Schizosaccharomyces pombe: one gene and its partner. The protein of the gene in region 2 binds, or shares a complex with, the protein of the main gene of each other region. Each region holds a gene or a part of one and is shown on either strand. Other genes may lie near its edges.

What was found.
Region 1: air1 (region 2) and cid14 share a complex: the UniProt entries of both Schizosaccharomyces pombe proteins name them as parts of the TRAMP complex.

The regions. Positions count from the first base shown.
Region 1 is NC_003424.3:312,328-328,994, reverse strand, and holds cid14 (TRAMP complex poly(A) polymerase subunit Cid14), read right to left. Parts: upstream 7,191-16,667; 5' UTR 7,072-7,190; coding exon 5,017-7,071; 3' UTR 4,866-5,016; downstream 1-4,865. Other genes in the region: WD-repeat family protein wdr21, read left to right, coding at 1-773; cysteine-type deubiquitinase Miy1, read right to left, coding at 1,013-1,497, 1,604-2,053, 2,139-2,301; gms2 (NST UDP-galactose transporter), read left to right, coding at 3,715-3,770, 3,829-4,533, 4,588-4,801; mRNA cleavage and polyadenylation specificity factor complex, WD repeat protein Pfs2, read right to left, coding at 7,492-9,021; sif3 (Sad1-interacting factor 3), read left to right, coding at 10,054-10,774, 10,823-11,481, 11,526-11,564; SPOM_SPAC12G12.16C (XP-G family Fen1-like nuclease), read right to left, coding at 11,798-13,288; pus9 (tRNA pseudouridylate synthase), read right to left, coding at 13,781-14,965; SPOM_SPAC18B11.03C (N-acetyltransferase), read right to left, coding at 15,409-16,667. UniProt on the Schizosaccharomyces pombe protein: Required for 3' polyadenylation of the 5.8S and 25S rRNAs as a prelude to their degradation in the exosome. Involved in the nucleolar organization to ensure faithful chromosome segregation during mitosis.
Region 2 is NC_003423.3:970,853-986,542, reverse strand, and holds air1 (TRAMP complex zinc knuckle subunit Air1), read left to right. Parts: upstream 1-5,774; 5' UTR 5,775-5,962; coding exon 5,963-6,184; intron 6,185-6,233; coding exon 6,234-6,335; intron 6,336-6,390; coding exon 6,391-7,014; 3' UTR 7,015-7,185; downstream 7,186-15,690. Other genes in the region: SHREC complex ATP-dependent chromatin remodeller Mit1, read right to left, coding at 219-4,475; U1 snRNP-associated protein Usp103, read right to left, coding at 4,650-4,972, 5,032-5,247, 5,294-5,303; ilv1 (acetolactate synthase catalytic subunit), read right to left, coding at 7,425-9,434; nucleoporin, WD repeat Nup131, read left to right, coding at 9,911-11,371, 11,406-11,499, 11,541-11,926, 11,966-12,320, 12,362-13,494; serine/threonine protein kinase (CK1 family) Cki2, read left to right, coding at 14,095-14,220, 14,273-14,342, 14,410-14,558, 14,624-15,586. UniProt on the Schizosaccharomyces pombe protein: Component of the TRAMP (TRF4) and TRAMP5 complexes which have a poly(A) RNA polymerase activity and are involved in a post-transcriptional quality control mechanism limiting inappropriate expression of genetic information.

The DNA of each region.
Region 1 (16,667 bases), on a different chromosome or scaffold from region 2:
CTAATAATCCCATTTCTTCTTTGGTATGTAACGCAATGCAAATTTTCTGGTCTACATCTCCTTCTCTGCAGAATGAGGGACAATTTCATATATCTACTTATAACCAGCTATTGGGTGAATCCAATAATTACCGTTGGGGATCTCTTAAACTTTTGAAAACCCCTTTATGTGCAGAAAGTATTGGAGAGATGGGCTTTGCAGTTGGTGGCACCTCAAAAATTGCAATAATTAATCGAGAGGGAAAATTAACGCAAAGTTTGCAATCTAAAGGAGACGTATTCAGTCTTAAATATTTGGGTGACAACTTAGTCATTGCTGGATGTCGAAATAAAAGTGTATTAGTGTATGATCTTCGGACGAAGAAAGAATGTGTACAGCGATTCTATCATGGATCTAGCATTTGTTCAATGCAAAACTTAGATTTTTCCCAACCGAAGCTTTTGGTTAGTGGTTTGGAATCTAAAATTTCTTTGTATGATTGCCGATTTCTGCAAAGTAAAAAAAGACCCCAGTCAATTATGTCTTATATGGGTCATTCTAATTTGCTTGAAAGAAATTTAGCTTTGATGAAAAATGAGAATGGAAGCATTTTTAGCAGTGCTGGTGATGATTATGTTTTACGTTTTTGGAAAACCGACTGTTCGTTACCATTCAAGGAAATGCGAGTTGACGATGGTAAATATTTATGTCGAGATGGGTCTTGGGTAAAAGCAATGAATGGTACCGGTTGGGTTCTACCGTATGGTCGAGGCTTACTTATTTACGAACCATGAGCATTTAACAAGGTGAAGAAAATTCTTTTTGGTAGCAATAGTATCTTTAGTCTTACGGATATATGTAATGCTTGTTTACTTTTCAATCTTTCAAAAAAGTTTAGGAGATTTCAATATTAATTAATAATTGTTGACGTAAAAGAAACTATGGAATAAATGTAGTAAATGCATACGCTTTCACTAGAGCGAATACAAAAAATAAAAATATAAAAGACAGATCCTCTAAGTATCATGTTTCATCACGAAATTAAACAGTTTTCGCTTTGCTTACGTGATTTCTGGGTATTGGATTTGTTACGACGAGGAGTGTTGGAAGCCTTTTTAGGAGTCTCCTTTTTTCCTCTTTCTTCTTCTTCTTTCGCTAGTCTCTTGGCATATTGTTCATCATCTTTAGCGCGTTTTTTTTTCTCCTCCTTTCTTTGATTCAAAACATAAACAGCAGGAATGAAGTTAGCTGCACAAAGTTCACCATTGCCTGTCTCAACTGTTTGCGAGTCAAAGGTTTCCCACACAACATCTTCACCTGTCCTTGCGTATCCACTATCTGTGACCAAAGTAAATTGTGCGAATGAATCTGGATTTGAATACATGGTACTGAAATGACTGGAACGAAAAACCACGACTATTTCCCCTGGACCTACAAGCTCAAGAATCTTTTTAAGACCAGCATTCGTCAAAAATTGCATTGTATAACGATTTTCCATAACTTTGTCAACACATGTAGCTATTTGAAGTGTTAGTTTGTAAAAAACATATAGCAAATTATAAGGCTAAAGTCTCTCAAGCAGTAAACTGAAGAAAGTATGCACGACAGATAAGTAAAAACTTACAATTATTTAAAAAATCTTGCTGCTGTTCAGTTAGTGGCTCCTGCATCTCTAATAGAGAACGACGTTCGGCAAATGTATCTGCAACTTTTTCATAATATTCAAGCTTTCGAAGGTAGCTTAAATCTTCGTCGCTCAAACCCATATCATCTGAAAGAATCCAACCATGAACTAATCGAACTCCAAATGTACAAAAGATTTCATGCCCATACTCAAACTTTTCAATATCATAGAGACAAGGATTCAATTGCTGACCGAAATGCATAGATGTCAGTTTATCCTGAAGACTTTGCTGATTTTTGCATAAGCCGTATGCTTTAGCAAACTCCACCAAGTATTCTGTCAGTTCATCGGGTGTGATGTATCTTTTCTTCGGCAATTCAAATGGTCGATCTACGTTTGACTTTAATATTAATGCATTGGACAAAGCAATTATAGGACACGGGCCATTAACTGAATACAAAGTAAGCAACTTAGAATTTGCGGAATAAAAGCTTGCAATTATGTTTAAAACGTTACAAGTCTTTATAAGGATTACCTGTTTGACATAGAATAATTCGTTTCTGGTATTCCCTTGAAAGGGGTTCTATGAAAGGAATAGTTCTTGTCTGGTAGGAATTAGAATGGTCCTCTTGCTTATGGTTCTGAGTTTCATTATTATGCTCTTGAGTATCAGGATCGTGTTCCTGAACATTATCCATGGCTTGGTAATTAACAGAACTTAGGTTTCTTAAAGAATTCCTTTTTGAAAATTTCAAATTTATATTCAAGGATTCCTAAATGTGTCATTTAAATTAACCTTATGAGTTAATTTAGAGACGTTGATCGTAAGTTGGGTAAGGATATAGCTTACACCACCATATCACAGTAAAACCAGTGTCAGTGCTAATGATAAAAGGTGTTTACTCAAAATAAATTTAGTTTTATGACAGGAGGATTTATAGTTTAAATGAAATCTTATATACTGAAATTGAACTTTTAGGATTGTGCTATATTTCGTATACATATTATTAGGTAATTGCAATTGGGGCCCAAGCTTTATACATTCAGTATTTGTAATAATTGCCTTTGTTAAGTTTTTAACAGCTATTTTGTAATCTTCAAATTTTGGATTCTATTTATAGTGAAGAAAGCAATGAAGTATATTAAAAAATCGACTTTAGTTGCAAAAAGTTAAAATTGAATTTATATTTTTAAAAATTAGTATATTAATTAAATTTCTTTTAAGTGTTGATGAACTCTTTTGCACTCATTTACTGTAATTATAAACTAGAAATGAGGTATTTGTAAAATTACAACTTCCTTTTATTAAGTTGTCAGAAACCCAGAAAATTTTAGAAAATGAGTTCAAGATTGAAAATTAAAATAAATTAATCAAATAAATGAGTTTAAAAAAAACAACTGTCTCTTAAGACTTTTCCAGTAGATATCTTTTCAATGCTTAACAGTTGTAATTATTAATGAACCAAAGAAAAGTTATGAATTTGCTTTAAAGTATGCGTTTTTAACCATTTTATTTTCAGCTATGTTTGAAAGTTTAAATGCAACTTCAGTAAAGTAGTATTGATTATATAGGTAGCATCATCATTGAAACACTTTTCATAATTTTCATCTTATAAACGAGAAGGCTATATAAGCTGCTTTATACTGGATTTACAATTTTCAGGAAATTATTTCTTTCAGTTGATTGACCAAGACAATGAAGGATGATTGTAATATACTTTGAATAAATTAAAATTGAGATTATAATTTAATTATACTCTAAAAGAAGTATTATAGAAAAGACAAAACTATTTTGTTTGTTATCATTTATACTCGCGAAGCTGGATCTCCCTGATGAATTCATTATGTTCTAGGAACCAAACTTAACGATTTACGTAATGCATTAACTAAAGTTTCGCTAACCGACAAGTGATAGATTACAGCTGCAATTGTTATACTCTAAGCGCTAACGCATACATATTAGCGTACATCTCATTCATCTTGCTTTTACAATATATTGTAAATTTCTGAACATCTTAAACGGATATTTTATGATATTATACTGCACATACAACTCATCACTTTTCCTTGCCCATATTTGACGGGCATTTGATACTCTCGACATTTACAAAATGCTTTTGCCAATTATTATGCTTACTTCCGGTGTAGCTAACACCGTCTTGTCGAAGTCAGTAGCTATTTTATTTATCCAATAGTATTGTTTGCTAACAAATCATCTCAAATAGATATCAAGACAGTATAGCAGAAGAAAGTGAACCCATCAAGAGTATGGCAGTTCTTCAAAGCCTCAACATTTTTCTTGGGGAAGCATGTTTATGGTTTTATGTGTTGTATAAACGCCACTCACAAGGTCCTGGCTACGAATCTCTTGACCACCTACCTTTAAAGCACAAAGTTTTCATGGCTCTTCCAGCAATCATGGATATATGTGGTTCAACATTGATGAATGTTGGCCTTCTTTATACTAGTGCCAGCATTTATCAAATGACTAGGGGTTCGCTTATTATTTTCGTTGCCTTGTTCGCTACGACTTTACTAAAAAGAACAATCGGTCAATTGCAATGGCTCTCACTGAGTTTCGTAGTTTTAGGAGTTGCAATTGTTGGTTATTCTGGATCCTCTTCTTCTATTGGTTCAAATCCCATTTTAGGAATTACTGCAGTTTTAATCGGCCAGTTTTTTTTAGCAACACAATTCACAATTGAAGAATACATACTCTCGTTTATTCAAGTCGACCCTTCAGAATTAGTTGCTTATGAAGGTACTTATGGCGTATTTTTTGTCCTTTTAGGAATGATTATTTCTTACTATTTTATCGGTTCTACTACTGCTGGATACCACGGGTGGTTTGACTATTCACACGTTATATCTCGATTTAATGAAGTCCCTGCACTCTATGTTATTTCTGGAGTTATTTTGGTATCTATTGCGTAAGTTCATGTTAAAAAATTGACCATTCGTATTTACTAACGTTCCAACCTTAGTTTTTTCAACGTTTCCGGCTTAGCCATTACAAAACTTCACTCAGCTACTACCCGATCTCTTTTAGATATTGCTCGAACATTCGGAATTTGGATTATTGCTATGGCAATGGGGATGGAGTCATTCCATTTACTTCAATTCTTGGGATTCGTGCTTCTTATTTATGGCATATTTACTTACCATTCTATCATCAAATTTCCTCTCGCCGAATCGTAATTTCTTAACTAGTTTCATCGTTTATGCAAAATTACTACAGATCCATAGTGAGTTTAAGGTGTTGATTAATTTATTACTGGTATTCGAGTTTACTGGCTAAATCGTAAGTATAATCTATAAAGATAATTTATTAATACAATTATCAAACTATAATCATAATTGATAATAAAACCTTTTATCCCTCTATATAACCTGGTATTTTACATGTAAATTAACTAAAAACGTTTGCGTATTTTTTTCGCTCGAGATTCTTCATCTGAAGCAGTGGTGTCCTCAATAATAGGTACTTCGTCTTCCGAATCGTCACTGCTTATGTTAAATAATTTACTGGGATTAGCTCGAGAATTAGAGGAGGACTGCTCTCCCGTAGATGTCAAAGCTTGCTTCTGAAAATTTTCATGGCCGTTGGTTTCAATTGATTCATTTACTTTAAACAAATCATCCTTTGCAGCATCTGTTTCGTCTGAATCGGATTCATCCTCAACATATTGCAAACCAACGTCTTGCAATGGAAGCTTGTCGACATCAATACTTGCTAAAGCATCCACTTCCACTAAAGGTTCTAAAGGAACTGGATTATTCTTATAACATTTTAACATATGCTCACGATGTTGACGAACCCCTTCATCAACTGATAATATGGTACTTAGGATACTAGGGAAATCTTTGACTCGATTGACACCCTCTCTTTCTATACGAGATGCGAGTGCGTATAATTTACTAGTTAGCAAATCAAAGCCATTTGCAAATGTAGCCTTTACGCGTAATAATCCACGACTAGATTTAGAAACATCATTTTGGAAATCTACCGGATCTTGGATTGAAAGCAAATAAGGCTGGTTTGGCTTCAGCCAACCCATCTTCTTTTTTGAAAAATAAAAACCACCATTGTGAACAGCGATACCGACAGCATCATAATAAAATTGTTTTCCGTACAACTCCAAAAACTCTAGCAGCAAAACACCAAAATTGTCTTCTTCACGCATAGAACCTGTACTAAGTCTAGGGTGTAATTGAAGAAAAGAAACAACCAAACAAACAATCGCATAGCTACTTAATCCGCCCAAGAAGACTTCGTTTAGCGCTCGCATGTTCAAAAAATGTTTAATAATTATTACTAACGGCCTAAGAGCAGGGTATTTTTTCATGAAACCGTTCACTACCAGACATGTCTTCAAACCTCCAGGTTGATTAAAAGATATGTCAACATGAACTTTGGTTAACGGATCAACGAACTTGATGATTGGAACGTTAGCAGTAGTAATGACCTGGACTTCAGAAGCAAGTTTTAGCTTCTTTAGATGATGAGCAAGAACAAACATATCTTTTTTTGTACCCCGATAATGATGCTCAGGTGATATTATTACAAGATCAAGGTCTGAAGTAGGTAAATATAATTTGGTTTCAAAACTTCCAAAAACATAAAGTGATACATCTGGCCATTTTTGCAAGACAGCTTGATTTATACGAGAAACAAGCGTCTTCCGAACCGCATGCTCTTCAGGAGTCGGAGTAATATAGTCAATAAAGTGAAGAATGTCTTGGTGAAAAATTCTAGAGACTTCTCGCTCTACCTTATACTGACGGTGCCAAGGGCATGATTGAGAATCAAGCTCATACGCTTGGCGTTTTCGTTTACGGTTAGAATCCGATTTTTCATTTGCTTCATGAAAAAATCGGCCTCGTTGACGCATAAAGCCAGGGATCTCATTTTTAGAAGACTTTTTTAAGGACTCATTATTCTTGCTTTTATCATTACTAACACTATCCTCGTCTTCATCGCTGTTCCAATCGAACTTGATAAAATCAGAATTATTTTCGACAGCCTTGTCGTGTACAGGGTTAGTTTTTCTACCTTCTCTTTTTGGTATACCTAAAAGAATGGTAGGTTCACCACGTTTTATTGCTTCCTCTGGTAAATCAGGTTTTTCCAGCGGCTCTAATGGATCGGCTTTTCCAAATTGAATATATGGATCGTTTTTGTTTGAAATTTCTACTCCACCTTTATCACGTATTCCTTCTGAATCATTATCATTACGTGATTTTTTACTTCCAATTTCAACCATGGGTTCTTCTTGATCCAGAAGCGTAAAATTGTTATTCAGAAGCATTTCGTCATAAGCGTCTGAATTTTTATCCTTTTCCTTTCTTTTAGATTTAAATTTACTCGGTTTATCGTTTTTAAAAATCCTCCTTGGAAGTGGTTCAGTTCTCTCATTTTTACGCTTTTTATAATTATTGCGGTTAAATGACACGCTTTTTTTACCCATCTCTAAGACATGGATAGAATGGTTTTCTATACCTATCTTGTAGAATTCTTATAAAAATCAATATATGACTAATTGAACCACAATTATTAATCACATAAGATCTTTGAAAATTTGGTGGTGAACAACTTACTAAATGTAGCATACCTAACTATTAACGATTTATTTACGAAAATCGTTGACACTCGGTAATTCAATTTGGGGAACATCTTGTATGGAGAGCGAGATATAGAAGTGCTTGTCGAGTATGAATGGTATAATGTAAATTGTTGCTTAGTTATCATTAAAAAAAAAATTAGTGTAGGTTTTGCTTTGCCAAACCCAATTTTTAGTATGAATCCAGTGAGCTGCGGTGTGAATTTTTTTTTTTTTAAATCTAATTAATGCCAAGTAAATATGTTTTTCAAATAACAAAGAAATGTATTATCGATAGTTTTGAGGATACCCATCTTGTGACTTTGAGGTGAGACCTGGGATAAAAGAGTTTTGAGTTGACGGCTCAGCGTATGAATTGCTCAAAGATGCATGAAGCATACCGGGAATTTGAGGTTGTCCATGTTGATAAGGCGATGGAAAGGAGGGCATAGTCCCTAAACCCGGAAGATTAAGTACTCCAGAAAATTGGGGATTATGGGCATTTGCTAATGTTTCGGTGAGAGGGTTTTCGTCAGGTTCATAATTATCGTCTTCTTCGATCGCTGCTTTTCTCTGACTTAGCATGGCCTCAGACTGTTCTTCACCTAAATGATGGCGATCCATGGTGGATTCCTTGTCATCTGGGCGAGATCTTGACCAAAAACGTGTAGTTTTATCATTTGAACCTGTACATAAAAGATGTCCAAGAGGATGATATTGCATACTCCAAATACCCAAATCATGAGCAAATGGAATTTCAGCAGTAGGGTATAGTAAATAAGAAGACGCGGAAAGAGTAACATTTGGATGCTTTTCATGATACTTTTGCTGAGAAAGTAATGGAGGTTCATCAAGTGAATAATGATTGACACTTCCATCGGAGCCACCAGTAGTAAGCAAATTAGGATAAAGAGGATGCCATGTTACGCAGTTTACGTCCTTTTCATGACCACGTAAAACTCGAACGTCCTTCATGGCACGTAAGTCAAATACTCGACAAGTGCTATCCCTAGAGACTGTAGCCAAATAATTTGATCCAAAATTTTTCTGAAAAGATGCTTGCATTATTGTGTTTTTATGACCATGCAAAGTCGCAATACATGTACCGGTTCTTGGATCCCAAAATTTCACTAAATTGTCTTTAGAACCAGAAGCCAAGAGACCTTTTGAAGGATGCCAATCGACGGTTTTTACATCCCATCCATGACCAGTTAGTTTCAGCTCTTCAGTACTCATATGGAAATTCCATACTTTTAATGAACCATCATCACTCGCTGTGACAAATTTGCTATCATTGGGTGAAAAGGCAACATCTCTAACTTCCATTTCATGAGCTTGAACAATTTTGACATTGTTTAAATTCGGTTCAAAATACTTTACCATGCCTCCTCCATCGCCGGAAATAAGCCAGCGCCCATCTGTACTCCATTCAGCACAACGAACGGCATAATCATGACTCTGATTAATTAACTCAAAATTAAATGTGAGACCATTCCACAGAGTAAATTCACCAGTTGAAGAACCTGTCAACAGTCTTCGACCATCTGGAGTCCAGCGCACAACGTTAATAACATGTCTAGCTTTATTTGCAGACGTATGAATATATTTGGTGCACAAGGAAGATGTGTTATTATACTTGTATTCATAAGGGGGATACAAGTTAATTATTTGATTCGGATTTGGTCTCGGTACATGTATGTGATAGCGATTGCTACGCAAATGTCGATTGACAATATACTTTGATAGCCCTGATCCATAGTCCACAGTCCTACGAGTCATAGGCTTTTGAATAATTCTAGCATTTTCAGCTCTTTCCATGATGAATTAACCAATTCCCCAAAGATGTGAAATTCCTTATTTAGCAGCAATAAAATCAATCTTTAATTTAAATAAAACCAACTTAAAGTTCCTTCTAATGTAGTATAAACTTTACCGTTTTTCGTATGGTATTCTAATATATAGATATTTGGCGCGTTTTACGTGCTGGGAAAATGAGCTAGTATGACTTTGGCCAAAGGTATGGATACGCAATCGTATCTTTTGACATGATATTTGGAACGATTGTGCTTGTAAAATACATTGAAAAAAATTTTATTAATTTAGTTCAAAGACTTCTTTTATTTAGTATAAGTAAATCGGTGGGATGTTGAAGATGATATTAATTTCGTTCCAAATTAGGCACGCCAAATAAATTAATCCACCTAGATCAAGTGTTCATAGTAAACATACAGTAATGATATCTTTGATCATCTATCCATGCTTGATTAGACAGTTAAAGAATAGTACGTTTAATTTATACAATGTAATAACATTAAATGAAACTAATGTCTAAATAATATCCATTTGTTGTTTTTAGATGAATTTTGCTTATTTAACATTTGATTAACGTTCCACATAAGGTTTCTCAAATTGCTTAATATTTTATTTGTAGTCGTACTTTAATGGCAGTATCCAACCTACATGTGCTCGTTTTATTCATTTGAAATTTATTTTTTAACAAAAACTGAGTAAAAATTCAGGAAATTGAACTGCTTAGTCGTATTATTGACACTGCATATTTTACATAGAAATCTTTATTGTCTAAAGACACCAATTTGTGTCTCTCTTTTAATATTGGTTAGTAATTAATACCCTACTTTATTCACTTGCTCTCTGATAATTTGAAATAAGCTCCATAGTTAATCAAGTTTACTTTCCTCATACACTACTAAGCACAACCATTTTATCTTTCAAAATAATTGTAATTTTACTTAGTTGCATATAATACTTGATTAAAGTATTATACTGCGTATCAGAGACATAGACTTATATTGGCATGACCAGTAAACCAACGCTCGAAGTACACATTCGATGTCTACTAAGGATAAACTAAATTTACCCCCTAAACGGACAATTAATACTCGATTATCAACTCCTGTGCATATTCCTCCCCCAATAAATTCAGAAAGTACACGAATAACGCCTCAGCATGGTAGCCCACCACGTTTTGGAGATCATCGAATATCTGCAGCTCAAGGCCTTTTTCAAAGACGGCGGAATGCTAGGAAAATCGATCATCCATTAGGATGGTTCTTAAAAAACCGACATGCTGCTGCTCATATTCCTCAAAGAACTACTAAAACATCTCAGAAACTTGTACTACTACCCGAGAACCATGCTGTCAATTCATTTAACGAAGAAGAAAGCAACTATGAGGACTTGCTTACTCCTAGCGATGCCTATAATTTAATCAAATTAGAAAACTTACCTCGTGACAAACGTGAAGAGTTAGGATTTCCTCGTGCTACAGCATATTGTGTCTGTGAAGCTTTCCAGTTGCCTAAGGTTAAACATTTTTTAAAACATTATCACAAAGTCCGCGCAAAGAAATATGATGAGGTTCTATACGCTGTATATCATTTACCTTTAGTGTATGGCAGGTCTGAATCTTGCCGAGTTTCTAGTGGCCCAGCACCGGACGATATGCCCTCTAGTGCGTCTAATCACAATCAAAAGCATTTGGACTCTGACAAACCGGATAACGAAAATTTTGATTCTCATATAATATCTCAATTGTATCGAATATCTGAAAGTAAGTTAATCCTAACTGTTTAGCTAATTTCCTATTAACGCCATTTAGTTTTCGTCTTCTCTTATGGTGTCGTGGTTTTTTGGAATTTTTCTTTGAGTCAAGAAAAGGATATTCTTGCCGATTTAACTTTTGGTGGTGATAATTCTTTAATGGTTAAGCCTTTAGCAGAAGAGGAATGTGAAATTGAAGATTTACATTTTCATTACGCGCCGAATACAAAAAGGCCGAGGATATATAATGATATGATTCATATCCCGTCAGCGGACAACAAAATGAAGCTGGCAATGTCTCATGCTTTGGCTCAATCCGTCAAACTTTCTAGGTTTGAGTTACGAACAGACGTCACAATGAACTCTGCATTATTCTATCCAAAAAAGCTTGCTTTATACGGTCATTTAGGTCTTTCAAGGGTAGAGGTTGTTCGCATGAGCGGTCATTTGTTTCAGTTACGAGTGGATGTCAACCTTATTAGTAACATATTAGACACTCCAGACTTTTTATGGGACTCTGAACCCTTACTTCTACCTTTATATACTGCATTTCGCGAATACTTGGAAATTGGACCCCGTACAAATGTTCTCAATAGACGCTGTAAAGTCATTTTTGATATGCTTGATATATTTGGTAAATCCAGCGCGGATAGGAAGATGAACTCTATTACCTGGATAATAATTATCTTGATATCTTTGTTTGTAATCATATTTACTGTAAGTTTTAATTGGTCGTTTTATTCATTGACTAACATAAGCAGCTTGAAGTCATATTGCGACTCAGATGGGCTCATAGGTAATTGTGTGTTGTTGGTTTATGTTGATGGACTATGGTCTGTAAAAACCAATGGTTTTCGACAATTATCATTATTTATTCTTTCTTTTTCGCCTCAAAATATTTCCCCTTTTATCAATTTATAATTTCGTTGCTGTTAAGAAAGTGTCAGGTTGGTATGTTTCTGTACATTGGTGTTATATAATCATTTGGTTAATGCCGCTTCGCTTCACGAATGAATTTTAATGATTGAATGATTCAATACTCGTACGTGCTTTTGACATCTTTTTCCAATTCGTAGTGATAGTACCAAGGTGTTTTTGCATCTAATTCTTCAATTTGCACATTAAAAATACGAAGCACCTGCTTCTCTAAATCTAAATACGTCGAATCAGAAAGATGTAGAAATTCTTTAGGGATATTGTGAATAAAACTGAATAGCTCATTGTTAGAAGGCAAATCGGTAAATAGCTTTTTTGCAGTCAAAAACTTCTTGATATAGTCTGTTGGGATAATGTATTTTTCCTCAACGTTTAAAGCTTTTAAAACATCGAAAGCGTTACCGTAGTATCTAATCAATTTCAGGGCTCTTACAGGCCCAATCTTTGGGATTCGAGATGTGAAATCTGTTCCGCACATCAAACAGTAATCTTGAAATCCATCAAATGTTAAGTTCAATTCTTGAGCAATTTTTCTAGGATCCATAATTTGCAACGGTAGATGAAAATTATCATTTAAGTCAAGAAAGTTAGATATCATTGAAGAACCCAACAGTAAGACATCAGTATCTTGAGTAGCAACTGCATATGCCAGGTTGTTTTGAGAAATAGCTGAGGCAAATGCTTCAGCTTCTACTCCGATAGGAGAGAATGAAGCAGGTATCCCTAATATTTTTAATATTTCAAAAATTTCAAAAATGTTTTGAGGAGAAGGACGATATAGCCTTCTTTCTAATTTATCTAATTCAGTTTGTTTCAATTTTATTGCTTTTTGAAGTTCGTCTAAGGTAAGAATACCCTTTATGATTTTAAGACATAAAGTCAAGCATTCCAGATCCAAATTAGACAAGATAAATTCGAGGTAAGATCGTATCTCAGATGGGAAGTCATTGATTTCTGAAAACGCAAGTAGTTGTCGTAAAGAATGTATGAGATGATTTTTCTTTTCTTGGATCATCAAAGTTTTTTCCCTGTCATTTAATTTGTCAACGATTAACCTTACAAAAGTTGCATTCTCTAGATTTTCGGCATTATTTTGTGCATGAAAAGGATTATCACGTTCATTTAGAGAACGCAAATCAAATAACAACTTTCCAATTTGAGATAATAATGGACCGATCTCGTAGTAAAAGTTACCAGTCGGAAAATTATTATCTATTAAACAATTTTTTAAATTGCATAAAAAATACATCTGTTCCTGAACAACTTGTCGCTGATTGACTATTTGAGAACTTATCAAAGATCGTTTCTCGTGTTCCTCTGCTTTGAAATCATTAGGTTTTAGGTTGTCAAATACCACAATTGGCGAAGTTTTTAGTTTGCGACAATACCTTGATAGTTTTAAGGCCCATAAAACATGTTGATAATTGGTGTGCAATGGCGTATTTGGAGACCGAAAAAATCTGTATAATAAAAGATTTCCATCTACTGCTAGAACAGGATAATATTTAGAAAAAAATTCTGGTTGAAGCCATCTTATACCCTCAGACGCGACCTTTCTAATGATAGGTAGCAAACCATGAACGCCCATCAATTACTTGAAATAGATTTTTCTTTTGTGAGTCGTATAATCATAAGTGTAACAAATATGTATTAGAATGAACGTCTTTTTAGAAGTTAAGTCATGGTTGAACTTATGATGCACATAAAGATGGAAATGCAAACACTTTAGCACCCACAGCTTATGGTACGTTCAAATGACGCCAATACCGTTTCTTCTTTAATTGAAAGAGTTCGAAAACCAGATTCTTCTGTAATGTCTAATGACAGCACATAGAACAGTATCTAGAAACTCCCAAACATGAAGAGTTTAGTTACTTGTCTCATTAACTTTTTGATCTCTATTCTCACAAAAAAAAAAACGATAAAAAGTTAACAAAGCGTCAGAAAAAAACTACTTTAGCTATTTTGTATACATATATCAATCACCTATTGGATTTTATCGACGATTTAAAAATTCGATTTTTTTGAGTAACCCTAAACCCTCAAAATTTTTTGTGTATATAATCTCAAAACTTTTACTTTATTCTATAGGCAGCGCATTAGGATCTCGGCAGCAAACGTCAAGAGCCCATTTTGGAAGCTGTGTCTTATAAGACCAATCTTTGCTCTCATATTTTAAAGCATGTAACCAGATTCCTAATTCCTCTGGGGATGGATCACTATAAAGTGGAGTACCGCACTCGGAACAGTGTTTACCAGTTAATAGCTCCCCGAGGCGTTTGTCTCTACGGGCCTTGGCCTCTGCCTCTGTTTCATTTGTATACCACTCATATTGCAAGAGTGGAGAAGCAGTTTCAGTTTTACCGATTTCGGAAAGTCGCATAATTACAGATTCATTGCTGCCTTCTCCATTCTTCCCTAAAGAAGGACCCCATACCCTTTTATTCGCGTATATAGGATCATTAGCAATAGGATAACCAAGATACTGTAGATGAACCCGTAATTGGTGAGTCCTTCCGGTCAGTGGTTTACAAAGCACGAGGGATGTGTGTCCATCAAACGCAATTCTTTTGAAAACGGTGCTGGCCTCCTTTCCATCCGGATGGATCCTATTTAAACCTAAAGTAGGTGCAACAGTAAGTAACGGAGCATCGCAAATTACTTCACCAGAATTGGGGAACTCTCCTATTACTCTAGCAACATATTCTTTTTTCAGGCTTTTGCTAATCATATGGACGCGCATTTCTTCAGCGGCTTTAGGACTCTTACTAAAGAACATCAGACCAGAAGTTAATCTGTCTAATCTATTGCAAGGATATAACAGAGAACATTTGTTTTCTTTCATCAAAATATGTAAAACAGTATTGTGATTATAGCGACCTGTAGGATGCACTGGAACACCAGCAGGTTTGTCAATAACAACATAAGATTCATCTTCATGGACTATGCCTACTGGTTGGTCAGAAACTGGTGGTTCATGACGATGCGCATGATGGGAAACTATGTATCCATTTTCAATCAATGTGTCAACGTTACCAATCTGATTGTTTACCTTAACTTGACCATTGCGTATTGCCTTTTCATAATAACCAGATTCCCTGTCCCTAAATTCGGTATTGAAAACCTCTAAAAGAGTTTTACCGTACCACCTCAGCTTCGCGAAGGTAATGTATTCATAATAGTAGGGAGGGACTCGCCGTAGCCCGTCGCCTTTAAAAACGTATTCACAATCTTTCAAAGGATCTCTTTTAGGTCTTTTTAACATCCCCTTAGACCACAAGCGAATGGTTGAGTTTAATCCGCTAATGGTGGAAGTGAAAATCTAAGTCGCGGTTGGCAAAGGAGTGTAGTTGTCTTGGTATTATTCTCGTACTCACTCAACCTGTGGATAACAATACTTATAGTGTTCAGCTACTCAAAAGTATTTATGGTATTTAAAAAATTTTTACTACATGCTCTTTGTTGTTAATAAGAAGACTTTCGAAAGTGAATAATATAGGTGTCTATTCAAGAAAAGTTCGAAATCTTTGAATTAACCAGCATTACCTTAATAAAAAGTGCGTATAAAGCTTCAAACTTTTCATAATTCAAAAATTCTTTCGAATAACCTGTTCTCAATTTGAAATCTATAAATAGGAGAAGAATGGATAAAAATAGGTAAAAAAATAAACAAACCTATTAGTCGATGATATTTTATACTGGGAACGGCTATGAATTCATAGAAACCTTTTCGAGAATACTTAGAAACTTATCCCTTATTTTTATAGCCAGCTCATGAGTTTGTTCGGTGTTCCCATCATCAAAAATAGAGAGGGAAAACGAACATGGACCATCTGCTACTGTTATAACATTTAGTACAAAAGGTGCAGAAAGACTGGAACAAGGTTGTGCAAATGCCATATTCTTGATTTTTACCGACGAATCGGCGGGAAAGCTAAAATACCCCAAATTAGATATTTCAGCCGTATTTCCTCTAGTTTTTTCACAAGATTTTAAAAGGTAGTCTTCAATATCAATATAACTTAGCAATCCAATTTGTTGAGACATCTCCCTAGGATTGCTAAGCGCTGCTTTTAATCGATGCGAAAACTCAGTTGCTAAATCTACCATGGTATGTTTATAGTCCTCCTGACGCTGACTTGGCTGAAAACCGTTTAGATGATGAACGTAAGAAAACACATAGTTTCCCATGGTTTGCTTGGCTACGGGCAAAAAACGGCGCGCATTCACATCAATGAGCATATCTAGGTTAACTTTACCATTTTTAGCAATAGCATAATATATACTGAGCATAAAGACAGAATAAAAAATCGAAGTGAAAGAAGCGTCTATGTTTTTTGAGAGTTGCTTGATGTTTTTAACAACAGCATTAGAAATTGAAAAGAATATTGTATGCGATGAAAATGGACGCACTGGAGCATGACCTTTATAAGAAGGAGACCGAAAGCCCTTAGAGAACGGAAGTCCAGAGTTTGTCCATAGTGCTTTCATTAGACAAAACCATGAAGGATGAACATCTATTAGTTTTTCAAGATTTTTAGGAAGTGGTAATTCTGATACTGGCACGGTTGAAGATGAAAAATTTGTTTTGGACATTTGTAATCCTTCCAAAACATATTTATGAAACAAAGGGCCACTTCCTCCGTCGAAAAGGGAGTGATCATATATAAAAACTAATTCGGACTTATCATTTAGTACATAGACCATCCAAAGAGGAAGTGTCTCATCGTCATAACATAGCTTAAAATTTTGAAGAGCGTTATTGCAGAAGCTATCAACTTTCTGATCATCAGCATATTTAACGACCTTATCAAGGTCTATTGTTTTCAACTTCTTTACAATGGGAATTTTGCTATGACAATTGTGGATCCTAGCACCTAGCATCGGTTGATTGACAATTGCATGATATACTGCTGGATATAAAACTGTCGAATCGAGCGAAATAGAGTAAGTTGCAGAAACAATTA
Region 2 (15,690 bases):
CTGGCGGTTGTTCGTATATAACCGCCGGTTTTAAGTTCATGATTTGCTTCAGAGTTGAATCACTTGTTACCATATTTGATCCTACCTTGTTATAATGATCTTGATGGAAATGCTATATATGTTTAAAATTTATATTAAAAATTATATATTAACGAATAAAATGCAGGATACATATGAATATGCCAGATTAAATAATAGTATACATTGATGATAAAACTCTAAAGAGTTTTTGCTTCATTAATTATGGATTCCTTTATGATTACTTTCGATGAAAGTTCATTAGTTTTGGCACTGCTTGATACAGTAGGTTCCTCCTTTTTTTGTAGAAACGAGTTTAATCTAGCCATAGCTTGTTTTTTGATGTGAAATGGTTCTCGTGATTTGCTAAGCGAATCTTTTAGTCTATAAATCGCTTCCTTATTTCGTAACATAGGGCACGTGTCCCTTCCACTAAAGTGAGGTGTTCCACATAAAAAGCATATTTCTAATGGCACAATGCTTAATGGACAATGTGCTGGTAAATGTTTAATACCACAACATCGACAACGTACATTATCAGACAAAGAAGACAGTAGAAAAAAGTTGTCAAGAACTGCTTTAGACAAAGATCTTCCAACCAGTTGATGATTTTTTTCAATTATTTCGTAAGGTGGGTAAAAAACTGGATCGTCTATCAGTTGCATTTCCGAATCATTAATATACTCTGAAGAAGTTAATTTGTTAGCCACCTCTAAATTGATGGTGGATAGAGTTTTGTTAAATTCATCTTCTTTGGGAGTTGTTGCTAATAGAGATTTAGCTAAGATAGAGTCAAAATGAACATCTGCAGACTTTTGAGAATCAGATTCATCATTTAAGTTTTCGATATTTACGCTCGAATCATATTTGAGTTTTTGCTTATCAGATAAAGTATCTGTTATCGAACTGATTGTCTCAGTTTCTATGGGAAATGGGGAGCCTGGTGATGATCGATCATTAACGGTATAATCAGTATCGTCGCTATTATCATAAATATTTAAATCTTCGCCATAATGGATTTTGTGGTGTGCACGAAGTCTCCTGTTGGAAGTTGTTTCGTCTGTTTTTTCTAGCATTGCATCCTTCTCTCGTTGCTTAAGTATTACTGACCAGACATCTTCTTCATCAACAAGAACATTTTCTTTGACTTCATAATGATTGGAAGATATATGTTTGTTATCCCAAACACGAAAAAAGCCAAACTTATTGCTTTTTATATCTGATTCATCAGTTGAAGTATCTTCTTGTTTCTCAGCTTCTGAGATAAGTAATTCTACCGAATATTCATTATACTTAATAGACGGTTCATCACCAGCCTCTTCAAATAATGCACGAGCCCCATGCCGCAAGATACTTTCTAAATCTTTTTCTGAATTATGATTTTGATCCAATGACTCAACAATTAAGTGGTCCAATACAAGCTTCTTTTGAGCGTTTTGAATGATTTTTTCCTCTACAGAATCTCGAGTAGTTAACACAAAGACAAGTACCTTTTTTTTTTGCCCATATCGATGAGCCCTTGCAATCGCTTGCATGTCTTGATGAGGATTGAAATCAGGATCTAGTATAATAACAGTGTCCGCACTAGCTAAATTGATGCCAACTCCACCAGCACGGGTAGAAAGTAAGAAACATGACAACTCAGAATTAGGAGCATTAAAAGAGTCGATTGCTGACTGCCTTTCCATTTCCGATGAGGCGCCATCAAAACGTGCATAGGCTATGTTTTTATATTCAAACCAATCTTCAAGGATATCGAGTTGCTGGATAAATTGAGAAAACAATAATATACGATGCCCGCGAGTTATCAATTTCGGTACCAATAAGCGTAATATTAAAAACTTACAGCTGGCTTCTTCCAGTGAACGCATAGCAAGTTCATACGGGAGATTACGGTCTTCAATATCTGGTGAATAAATGTACGGATGAGCTAATGTTTTTCGAAGTTGCATCAAAATGTTGTTCAATGAAGTAGTCCTTTGCCCTCCAGAAGAACTGGTATTAGCATAGCCGGTAATATTACGTAGCAAAGACAAATTTTTTGAAAGAATCGATTTGTATAAACCTTTTTGAACAGGTGTCATGGACAAAGGAATAATTACTTCAACCTTCGTAGGAAAGTTATCCAGTACTTCGCTTTTCACTCTTCTTAAAAAAAACGGCTTTAAGATTTGATGAAGTTCAGTCACCTTTTCCGTATCAATAATGCTGTATCTTTTTTCAAGCTCAGCAGCATTTATTTTCATGGGATTTAAAAACTGCAGTAAATTAAAAAGTTCCCGAACATTATTTTGCAATGGCGTCCCGGTTAAAAGAAGCTTAAAGTCACTTTTAACCGAAGAGAGGTAATAAAAGAGGGAAGATTGATCATTTTTTAGTCGTTGTCCTTCGTCAACAATTAAAACTTTCCACTGAAATTTTCGGAGCAATGAAATTTCACGTTCAACATTTGAAGCACTTATAACGAGGACATGAGTGCTTACATGTTTTGGGTCTTTTTGATTGATTAGACGATAATCACGGACTAAACTTCTGTTTTTTTCAGAGCCCACGAGTACATTAATTTGTAGAAAGGGAGCCCATTTTTTAAGCTCTCGTTCCCAATTTGCAACAGTGGCATGAGGGACAATAACCAGTACCGGGAAGCATTTATGTCTGTAAAATAAAACACTAATGAAAGATATTACTTGTACAGTTTTACCTAAACCCATTTCATCAGCTAAAATACAAGGATGATGTGTGTACCATCGTAAATAAAGCCAGTTCAGCCCTTTCAGTTGATATGGCATTAGTGTACCACCTTTGATAAAACTTGGTTGAGAGTGCCACTCAAGATTAGTAAATGGTAAATCAATATTTATCGAAGCTGTAGGGGCTTTTTCGATCCATAGACATTCCAACAAGTCCGAATACCCTTTTAACCACGCTTTCCAGCGATTTCTATCTGTTTCTTTAGGAGGTGGTTCCCAATTTGACATATAATAAGTTAAACCACGCCAAGAAACAAAGGCGAATGTAACTTCAGAAATTGCCTTCAGTTGATGTTTTTTTGTTTTATATTTTGCCGTTCGAGCATTCTTTCCACTTCTATATTGAACATCCCAAACCTTATCGATTATTGTATACGATACTGGAATAATGGGCTTAGTTGCGTCGTATGAGGCATTCTCCAAACCATCGAAATTTTTCTTTTTAGCTAATGAAATACCGGCTAGCCATGAAGCAGAACACCAAAAACAGTGAAGGTAAGACTTACCTTTGCTTCGAACGAAATACTCTCTAGACCAAAAGCTCAAGTCCGATGTACTAACAAAATTATTTGAAAGGGTAGCTTTTGAAGGATATAAACTGTTTAGAGTTCTCCAAGCAATTATCTCTTCAATATCACAAGGATGCATAGAACATTCATTACAAACAAGTTTTTTTATAAAATGAGTAATTGTTCTCTGAATAGACAAAGGATTACTGTCCAGATAAAAAAAATATTCGACACGCCTACATCGAAAACACCGAAACCTTATAGACTTGCAGTAATTGACTAAAATTGACAGAGATTCCCTATCAGCAAGGGATGGGGGGATAACTAGATCCTGTCCAGAAGAAACGCCTGAAACAAACCCGGTATTACACAAAACGTCCTTAGAGTTTTTGGAACATAAAGGACATATAAAACCATTTTGCTGAGAGTAATTACGCGTTTCTTTATTTAAAGAAGGGAGTGGAGAACAGTCATAGTGGTATACATTTGAGCAATGATCACAGTAAACAAAATTTTTACCAGAGGAACGATGTTCACGTCCATGACATTTGACACATACACAGACGTGTAAAAATTTGATAAAATCAAATCCGTCAGAGTAAAGAAGTGAGAAATAAGGAGCTTTATTATCGTTTTCTGTGGACTCAATTTCCGAAGAACTTAGATCGGAGCTACCAAAGTCGGACGTGTCATTGAAAGATAAATGCGACAACGATAACTCATTATGCTCTTTTCTATTAACCTTCTTATTTGTATCAGATGAAGATGAAGTTGCACTGTCAGAAGCCGTTTCATCACTGACAAATGAAGGATTAAGTGCGCAGTGAAATTCCTTTCCGAACTTAAATTTCTTGGTACGTGTTGAGTCCCTTAAGACTTTACTACCATTAGACTTCAGTAAATAATCATTTTTCTCTTCCTCATCCTTATCGGTTGAAGTCATATACCCATGGTACCTCTTTCGAGATTTGTGTTTTAACCATACTCTTAAACAAGCTTTTCCATTTTTATATTTATCAAGTTCATCTTTTTTTATCAATGCTTCAACACCCGCCAAGAATTTAACACTCAGTGTGCTGTCATTTTCGTGCAGTATTTTTTGAACGGTGGTTTCAGACGCGTCATAATAAGGTAGTAAAACATCAAGCGGTTCACGACGTACTACTATTTTACATAAAGAATCATCTTCTTTTGGCATGCTTTGAGATGAATATCTAAATATTCTTGGTAAATACTGTGTATTTGGAGTTGTCCTTAAATTTCACTACGTAACGCAAAGAGAAAGAATTACCAGTAGTAAACGGTTATAAACAATAGCTATTATACAGTACATTAATAGTAACAAACAAGTTTTAATCTTTTAGATGTCATTTTAAGCACGTACAAACCTTTGATGACTTCTTTGACCCTGATGGTGGGTTTTAGTAAAATGGTTATTAGCATTCGAATGAGTACGCGCGCGTTGATGTTCATTTGTCTGAGGAAGAGATTGCTGCTGTTGTGTAAGTTGAGTGTTAGAAGAAGCTGTAGTCTGGGGAGCTGAAAAAGCTACTTGGTTTGTTAAATTTACAGCAGGCATCATAGGGACGAATGCAGCAGCATTCATAGCATTCATTCCTTTAGGAGCCATATAGGTATTTGCGGATACAATGTAGGGCGGTGGTGGACATCCTAAGTTAAAGACATTATATTTGGCTAAAATTCGGAATATTAGACTTCGTATTCAACAAAAGTATTATAAAGTAATAACTTACGAGGAAACGCATAAGCATAAGGAAGGTCTAGCGAACCATTCCCCTTTTTTAAAAATCCAGAGGATGCCCTTTCTTCAAGTTGTTTTTGGGCTTCTTCTTGAGCTACTTTCGTATAGTAGTCCTGAACATTTTGTATATGGGCTCTTCCAGCATTGTGTGCTTTTCTAACTGATTGGCTATCATGAGTGAGCCAAACTTGGCAGTAATCACACAAATCTAAGCATTAATTAGTTTTCAATTATTGTTATTCATCGTATCATACATCTTGGCATTTTAGCGTGTTTGGCTGTTGTTGAGTCTTGTAATAAATGTGAGCTGTGTTGAAACGCTAAAATGATTTAAAAAGAAATTAATGTCAATTAGCAACAACTATACAAAGAACGTTCATAGTTAAACATTGAATGTTAAATTACTGTTTATCTATGCTTTACAAAGTGTTGAAACGAAGCTCTCGAATTTTCAACTACTTTAAAATCCAACGCCTTGAAGAGTCGGGAAGGTGCAATCATTTAATATTTTAATATAATTAAGTTACTGCTGTACTTTCAATATCTCTTCACGATCAGGGCTTTTAAGTACCAGACATTCTTGGTTATGCATTAAGTGTTGCATTTGAGAGAACAATTGTAATTTGGAGTATAAGTTATTTATTGAATTTCATTTATTGTCATGCTCATTTCAATGAAATAAACTTCTCATGAGAAAGCCAGATATAATCCATGTAAGGTGAATACTCACACCTTAACCAAAAATTTTTTGCCTTTACTGAAACTATTAAATTTCCATTTGATAGTTAAATACTTGAAGTGTTTTATGTTTTATTTGCTTTTAAACTGTTAAATTGATTGGGAATATTGTGAAGTAAACTACTGGCCGGCTGTTAAGTGTTAAAGAAAACTGTGCTTGCCATTATTACATTGCTTGTCAATATATGGACATGACTGTTTCAAACCAAAAAGCAGAAAGTGATGATGGTTCAGACATCGACGATGCGGCCTTGTTACAAAAAATTAATTCTTTACCGATTGACCAGAGTATCACAAATTCGGTGAGCTTGGAAAAGCATGATTTTCAAGGAAGTGATGACCATGACTCCTCTACGGATCTTTCCGATAGTACTTTGGAAGATGTGGAAGGAAGTGAATGGGCAGACGTATGGATTGAAAAGTTTTTTTTTAATACTTTTTACTAATAAAATTTAGGTGAGCAGGGGTAGATACTTCGGGTCAGATCCCTCAGAAAGTATAGTTTGCCATAATTGTAAAGGGAATGGTCACATATCTAAAGATTGTCCTCATGTTCTGGTATGCATTTTGATCGGACATTGTTTTTTTAATAGTGTTACTAACTGTATTACAGTGTACGACTTGTGGAGCAATTGATGATCATATTTCCGTAAGATGCCCCTGGACTAAGAAGTGCATGAATTGTGGACTACTGGGTCATATAGCTGCGCGATGTTCGGAGCCGCGAAAAAGAGGACCTAGAGTTTGTCGGACTTGTCATACCGATACTCATACTAGTTCGACGTGTCCTTTAATTTGGAGGTATTATGTCGAAAAAGAACATCCTGTTCGCATTGATGTTTCTGAGGTTCGAAAGTTTTGTTATAATTGTGCATCTGATGAACATTTTGGAGACGACTGTACTCTTCCATCTAGATCAAATTATCCTGAAAGCACTGCATTTTGTGAAGCGAACTGTCCTTCTGGAAATGATGCATCTAACAAGGAGTTTTTTGAAACCCGTCGTAAAGAGTTTCAATTGGAGAGGCGAGAGCAGAATCGAAATCAAAAATCGTCGAAACAACGGCCTTTTCACAAACCAGGAAATTCTCTAGCATCTAGGCTGGGATCTAAGCCAAAAAGCTTTAAAAGAAAACATAGCCCACCTTCTGAGGAGAATGGCAATTTATCCTTTCATTCTTCAGATGGAAGAAAATTTACCAAAACTTCAAAAAAAAATCGTAAACGAAAATGGTAATTCATGTGCTGGTATTATTCATCGCATGGTGTATCGCTCTGCTCACATTGCATTGCACTCATTGATAATACTATCTTACTAAAATTTATTGGCAAAATCTAAAATATATGTACATTAATTTTATACACTCTCATTTGCTATGTTCGCAAAATTTGTAATGTTATTGACCTCCATCATCAAAATTAAATACAAGCTATGATAACGGAGTAAACCATAGTTAGAAAGCAAAACAAAAAAAAACAACCAAAATCGAAGATAACAAGGCAAAACAAACAAATTTGCTTTAGGGTAAATAATGACAAACCGCCCACCAGAGTCTAAAAGAATGTGACACGATAATTAACGCAAGTTTAAATAAGTGTTACATCTGACTCTTACAAAATAGCTGTTTTTAAATTAATCAAAAAAATTTATGAAAGGCTTTCATGCAAAATAAATTGGTGAAGAGCCTTACCACCAGGGACAAATGGATACACATGTTCCTTTTGGGCAACCAAAACTTCCATAAGCACAGGACCTTTAGTTGACAAAAACTCCTTCATTTTTTTAGCCAAATCTTCTCTCTTTTCTACACGTAGTGCTTTGATGCCCATAGCGTCAGCCAACTTAACGAAGTTGGGATTCTTTTGATGAGTATGAGAATAGCGTTTCTCATAAAACAAGTTTTGCCATTGAGTGACCATGCCTTGCTCTTCATTATTTAGGATAAGAATTTTAACTGGGATATCAAATTGACGGACGGTAGCAAGTTCCATACCAGTCATTGAAAATGAAGCATCACCATCAATATCTATAACAATATCTTTAGGTGCAGCAACGCTAGCACCTATGGCAGCTGGGAGACCAAATCCCATAGTACCGAGACCACCGGAGGTTACCAAAGAACTAGGTTTTGTCCAACGATAGAATGTAGCGGCCCACATTTGATGTGCACCGACACCGGTGGTAATAGTGACTTTGTCCTTTATGTCAGAAGTTTGTTTGTCAAGTTCTTGAATGACTTCTTGAGGCTTTACCAATTCACCAGGAGCGCTACGAGTGAAAGTGAAAGGGAAGCGTTCCTTCCATGTTTGAATTTGAGATAACCAGTCAAATCGGGAAGGAATTTTAATATTTTTAGTAGCAGAATCTAAAAGCTTTAGAGATTCGTATACATCGCCCTCTATTGCTTCAGTAGGTTGTACGACCTTACCGATATTTTTGGGTGAAATATCAAAGTGAATAATACCGCCACGCTCTTCGGCAGCAGCAAGACGTGCTTGAGGAGCAAACAAACTTACGTTACCGGTGACACGGTCGTCAAAGCGAACACCAAGAGCAAGGATAAGATCGGCTTCCTGCATGGCCATATTAGCGTATCCACTACCATGCATACCGAGCATATGCAAACTAAGGTCAGAACGTTCATCTACAGCACCAAGTCCAAGCAAAGAAGTAGTAACAGGAATTTGCAGCCTTTCGCTAAACTTGCGTAACAAAGTGGGGCATTCGGGATTAGCTAAAACACCATGCCCACAGAAAATCACAGGCTTCTTGGCTAATTTTAGTAAATTGGCAACACGATCGATCTTGGCAGTAACGTTCTTGGAGCCCTCTTCTAAGACTTCCTTCATTCTGCGATTCATTGATGGTACAGAAGACAGTATAGGAATGGGCTCCTTCAAAACGCTAGCAGTGACATCTTTGGGAAGGTCAACCAATACAGGGCCAGGGCGTCCAGAAGTAGCTATCTCAAAAGCTTCGTCTATACGACGGGGAAGATCAGCAACATCTTTGACCATTACATTCCATTTAGTACATGAACGAGAAATACCAACCATGTCAGCTTCTTGAAATGCATCACTACCAATTGCGCTGGTTGCTACTTGACCAGAGAATACAACTAGGGGAGTACCGTCGGCCAATGCATCAGCAATCGGGGTAATCACATTCGTAGCACCGGGTCCAGAAGTAACCAATACAACGCCGGGTTTTTTAGTAACGCGGGAATAAGCTTGGGCTGCATGTCCAGCAGCTTGCTCGTGTCTTGGCAAGATAAATTCAAAATGAGGAGATCTATAAATTGCATCGAAGACAGGCAAGATAGCACCACCTGGATAACCAAATACATGCTTAACATTATGCTTGAGCATCATATCATGGAAAATTTCACCCCCAGTCTTTCCAACAAACGAGCTGTCATATTTTATAGGACTAGCCGTAGTCACTGTAGAGGTGCTTTTGGTCGAATTTGCCCGAACGACACCGAATGCATTTTTTAATTTTTTAATTCTCAAATTATTACTAAAGCCGGTGCCATACCTCCGCACAGCTGAGCAACTATTTAAATTTAAAAATCTCTTTTGAAGGGCAATTTCTCGTCCATAAGACGAGAAAGCCGCCCTCGTATGCAATCTTCTAAGGGGAGCCAGCACAGTCATTATAAATAACTTTTAACCCTCAATTCCTTTCTAGAAAGAGCTATCTTTCAAGTTGCAAAAGATCGGTATGCTGAGCGGTATGAGAAGTGAGCAGGTTCATTTTTGCCTAAAAACATTGGTTGTTCACCACCACAAAAAAGATCAGATTTGTTAACGATAAGTACTGTACCCCGGAGATTAAATATACCGATGCATAATACTATACCCTTTGAAGTCGTGTTATTATTCTTTAAAAAGTTCAGATGATGTAGGAATACAATTTATCTATTTATCCATGTCTCCTTAATTTTTTAAACATTAGTAAATGCTGGAAAACGTCAAATAAATTTTTCTTGATCCTAAATTATAAGTTTCCTATCGATTCAGCTTAGAAAATCGTCAGAATTATCTTTGAGCATAATCTGTTTAACACGTAAGAGATCTTAGATACTTTCGCTTTTTTAAACATTAGTGAGCCTCTTATTAGAGGAATTGCAATGTTTATTGTACATCGACGGTTTTTTCAAAATGAAAAAGCTTTTACGCCTGCAGGAAAACATGAAAAAGTTGCCGACGGAAACAAACATGAGACATTAGCTACTTCAGAATACCCGAAAGTCTGTGCATCAAATGACTTGTACAAAATACTCCAAATATCTGCTCCTAAGGTTGGCAATTTTACAATCCATGATGCGCCAGTTGTTGGACTAATTGACTCTATTTTGGAATATTATTTGTATATTAGTGTCAAAGTTCGAAAGGCATGGATTGCTGGTTATGGAAGTCAGCCCCAAAACTTAATATGCTTTGATTGGGAACGTTTTACGGGTATTCTAGATCAGCAGAGTCTAAATAGCCCACCGTTAGCTGGATTTGTTAAGCCAGATCCAACATCAGCAGAGCCTGGCTTTTTACTTTTGTGGCCTGCTTCGGGCGACCTTTTCTACTGGGAAAGAACTTCTTTGATGAACGTTGAGGTTTCTGCTCCCGAATTTCCTGGTTTTCTTCATTACAGGATTCAACTAAAACGATATGAAAGCTGTAAAAATTTGGTTAGTGCTGAGCCTGCTGGCTTTTTCCTTACTCTGAGTTCAGGTCGGTTGCTTCATCTGAATTTAAAAGATAGCGATGGCAATTCCTCTATTCAGGTTCGAATCCTATTTCCTGGATTGCACATCCCCAACTGCTTGCTGTCGTTATACAACAGTATCTTTGCATTTACTTCAGGAAGAGTTATTCCAATACGTTGTGGTTCAATAAAAGGACCTGGTGAGAGATTAGTTTATTCTATGCATTCTGGAAGCACATTGCGAATTTGGGAAATATTCGGGACTGGTGATCACCACTTGTTACGTGGTTTTGACATTTATGATATAATTTTAGATAGTATTCAGGAATCCTTTTCCTACGTAAATCGATTTCTAATCCTTGATTTTTCTGTTTCAACCTCGGATCCTTATACGTTAGCTTGTTTGGTTTCCTGGCGTGATAATGCTTCATTATTCAATTATGCTGCAATCATTATTTCTTTCAACCATCAGATGATACCTCATGTTTCACAATTCTGCCATGTACGCTCATATCTTTCTGCAATTCTTCCATCAGTGTGTCGAATATTTTTACCAAGTCCAGGTACAGTTGTTTTTTGCGTCTTCGATGTCACTTTTGCTATGTTTCATAAAGTGCGAGGGAAAGAAGGCACTTTTTATGTCGAAGAAAACCTGGTTGTGAACAACCTAACTTCCAAATCTCGGGTTTTGGATTTTGGCATGGAAGATGCGATATATGAAAAATCTACGCACACCTTACTAAAAACTCCAGCATTGATCTTGTTAACAGAAGGGCATGGTATAATCCGAATTGAATCTTCTGCTAGCTACCTGAAAACCAGCTTTAGTGCAACCACCTATTTACGAAGTCGTCTCTCCCAGTTTGCATCGCAAAGCCCTTTGTTCCGTGTAAGTTGTTAATTCTTTCGTATCTAACATATAGGAACAATTTTTGTTAAATTTTGACTTTACATACAACCTCTCTGAAAGCGAAGTCTATAATACAGTCTTTAATCTTTGTGATGAACTTTATACGAGTAAGATAATTTTTTCATGATATATTACTAATTGCAATCAGCGCCATGTAAAAAAAATATGTCTGTATTAGAAACACTACATTCTCAGCAACGTGACTTGATGGAAATAGTTCTTGTTGCCTTCAAATACCTACATTTATCTCCTTCTAATAGACTTCAATTATGGCTAAAAGTTGCCTATTGCAGTGCTTTGGCAGACCTATATGAATTATTGATGTGTAATGAAAAAATGTCTAACTTGCTTCGACGAGTATTGAAAATAATGTCTTCAAATGATAATATTGATGAACTTTTTTTGAAAAAGTGCCTGAATATAAATTTGTTATTACAGCATTTAAGCTCGGAATATTCTCAAATATCTGGCCAAGATGCTAGCAACGCACAAAAAAGAATTGAAGTAATAGTAAATGTTAATAACGTTTATGGGGTATGTTTCTTATAAAATAACGAGGTTTACTAATATTAGACTATCTTTGGAAATGAGCTTGCTTATAGGCAAGAAAAAATATCAAAATTTACTGATCCATCCTCTGTGATTAGAAGCGACCTTTGGACAGTTGAAGTTGATCACTTAGATTTACTACGAAAACAGATCGAAGATTCGATATCATTGCATCGCGATGTACGTGACTCGAAAGATGCACACATATTAAAAGTCAGTAACAAGCTTCGGAAGCAGATTTTGCATCTGGTGGAACAAAATTGCCTTTTGATCTTTGATTTGCACAATGGAACAGATGATACCATAGTAAAATCGCATAATTTTCAAAAATTTGAAGAAGAATTTGGCAATTCACGAAAAGAATGGTTACAATATTTAGGTAAGCTGTTTCTCACTTTCTTGTTTCCGCTAACAAAGAAGCTTCTGTCGGATATTTGGAAAAGGCAATCGACTTGGCGGAAAAAGTTAAAGACTTTCAGACAATGGTAATTTTGCTGGATTGTCTAGATCCAAAGGATCCTACCATTAAGCTTCAAAAGCAAAAAGCATGCTTAAATAAATACAAAGAAGAATTCGCAGATGTAATTTTTTTTTATTTGGTTGATACAGAGCAGTATGCGTCTTTGCTTCATGATTTCTTGGAGTATCAATCACTTTTAATATCTTTTTTTGAAGCCAATGATTTATTGAATCTTTTGTGGATATTTGAAGCTCAAAATGGAAATTATGGACGAGCCTCCGAAATTCTTTTCCGTGATTGTGAACCAGAAGAAAACAGGATTATCGGTAAAATTTCGCAGTTAGCTCTAGCAAAGCTCTACTCATGGACTAATAGAATTGAAGGTGAAAATATCATATTGTCAAATGAGACTGAGGTGATTGAAAATCATTTAGCCATTTTGCTTATTCAAGAGCAATATGCTGAAATGCTTTCATCACTTGTGGATATTACAGAAGACGAGGGAGAAGCTGTCGAAGCAATAGTAACTTCCAATTGTGTAAATCTATCAGAAAACTCTATCAGAGCCTGGCTCGTGTCTAGTGCTGTTGAGCGATTAATTCAAAACGAATACACTACGCTTTGTGAGATGGTAGATTTCTTTTCTTCTTTTTCATTACGGGAATGTTCATTCAAAGAAGTTGATTTGGCCTTAGAGTTATTAGAAAGAGCTACAATCACTAAGGACGTGTATTTTTACTTAAAAGATCTCGTATATCGCCGTTTTCTATTACAGGTGAACTGGGCAGAAATCATCGATGCGCATGAAGATTTAGAATCTTCATTTTTTCCAATGGTAAAGGAAATTATGTTAGAATCAGACTTTTTAATATGGTTACAACATATGGAACACAATATTCACGACGAAAGTAAACATTACTTGAAATCGGAAAAAAATTTTTTGCAAAGTGTATATTCTTCACTTTCTGAGTCGCAAGTGGAAGATTATCAAATGGAGCTTTTTCGTGAAAAGCAAATTTTCTCAGTACTATGTAAAGATAGAGAGTTATACATTCTGATTCCGAAACTTCTGGACGTAGCAACAAAACAATGAAATGAAATTTTGCTATATATTACTTTACATTTCCTCAGTAATCGATAAACACCTGTTTAAACCTAGTACTACTTATGTTTGTATAATCTATCGTATAGCCTCAGCTCCGACAACTCCGTTTTTACGATGGTAGATGCTAGATAATCACTGGTTAGAATATTTACGGCTTAAAATAATTAAATTTTTTTATTATAGATTCTTGATTTATTATGATGATTGCGCCTTCGGGGCTTTTTCCCTGTCCTGGATAGCCTCACCCTTACGTTGGAAATTAAGCTAAGGCCTAGTGTGTTGCATCCAAGTACACCTTACAACTAACGTCCACTAAAACACTCAAACCACATAATCATTTGTTAGTCGAAAGAAAGCCTGTAACTTCTATTAAATTATAGTAATTGGTTTTCTAAATTTTGTTGTTTTTGGTCGGCTACTGAATCGCAATTGGACTTCAATCTCTGTGGTGAATGCAGTGAAAACAAACTGAGATTTGTGTGGCATTTGTTAGTGAGGCTACAAATTGACTACATAAAAACTGCATAGTCCTTGCAATAAAAAAAATTTTATCTGTTCGGTCAATTCCTTGTGACAGGGTTATTTATCATGAATTCCCAAACGAGCGTAGTAGGGGTTCACTATCGCGTGGGTCGTAAAATAGGTGAGGGATCGTTTGGTGTTATTTTCGATGGGATGAATCTTTTGAATAACCAACTTATTGCTATAAAATTTGTATGTTCTTTGTTAGGATGAGTATATGGACAATACTAACAATGGACGTTAGGAACCCAAAAAGTCGGAGGCACCTCAGCTCCGTGATGAATACAGAACTTATAAATTACTAGTTGGAAATGGTATGTTTTTATTTTGCTACCCAAAACATATGGTCAAGACTTTGGTACTAACCGTATTTGCAAATAGCTGGCATTCCTAATGTTTACTATTTCGGGCAGGAAGGACTACATAATATCCTTGTTATTGATTTACTGGGACCTAGTTTAGAGGACCTATTTGAATGGTGCGGTCGTCGATTCAGTGTCAAAACGGTGGCTATGACGGCGAAACAGATGGTAAGTTTCCTAAGTTGTTCCTATAAGGTTTTCAATTTGTTTAAATTTTCTCTGACATTTCAAAGCTTTCCAGAGTTCAGACGATTCATGAAAAAAACCTTGTTTATAGAGACATCAAACCCGATAATTTCCTAATAGGCCGACCTTCCTCTCGAAATGCAAACATGGTATATATGGTTGATTTTGGTATGGCCAAATATTACCGTGATCCCAAAACCAAGCAACATATACCATATAGTGAACGTAAAAGCCTCTCGGGGACTGCGAGATATATGAGTATAAACACGCATCTTGGACGTGAACAATCCCGTCGCGATGACTTAGAATCGTTGGGACACGTCTTTATGTATTTTTTGAGGGGAAGTTTACCTTGGCAAGGATTGAAAGCTGCCAACAATAAGCACAAATACGAAAAGATTAGTGAAAAGAAGCAATCTACCTCCATTAGTGAGCTTTGTGCTGGATTTCCTAATGAATTCAGTAAATACATGACTTATGTGCGTTCGTTAGAATTTGATGAAGAACCGGATTATGCGTTTTTACAAGAGTTATTTGATGATGTACTTCGAGCAAATGGTGATACGAATGATGGGGTTTATGATTGGATGTTATTGAATGACGGTAAAGGTTGGGAGTCAAGCTCTTCTCATTTTTCTGTTGTTGCTATGAAGCGACGAAAGAATTACCTTGGCTTAAATGTTGTTCAAAATGATGATTCCAGAAAAAAGAACAGTACTTTGCAAACACAGAACATGCGATTTAAATCCTCATATGGGGTGAGAGGTCCTAGAAATTACTCATCGTTCGATGCGTTGCCGAGCAAAAACGCTCCATTGGTGCGTCAAGAACAGTCTGCTTCTAAAAAAACAATTTATGCTCATTCTTCTAGAGGTTACGATAGGGTTCGACCTATGTATGTATCTCAGCCCTCGAATAATGCAGTCGGAGTAAATCATCCTAACGATAATTCTGATTCGGAAGCAAAAGGAGGATTTTTTGATATGATATGCTGTCGTTGCTTTTCTTAGTTTCGAAGCTTCAACTATTGTTAGAGTCACTCACTTTCTTAACTTAAATAAGTGTTGTTCTACTATGCGGTAGATATGCTTTCACAATATCAATCATTTGATGA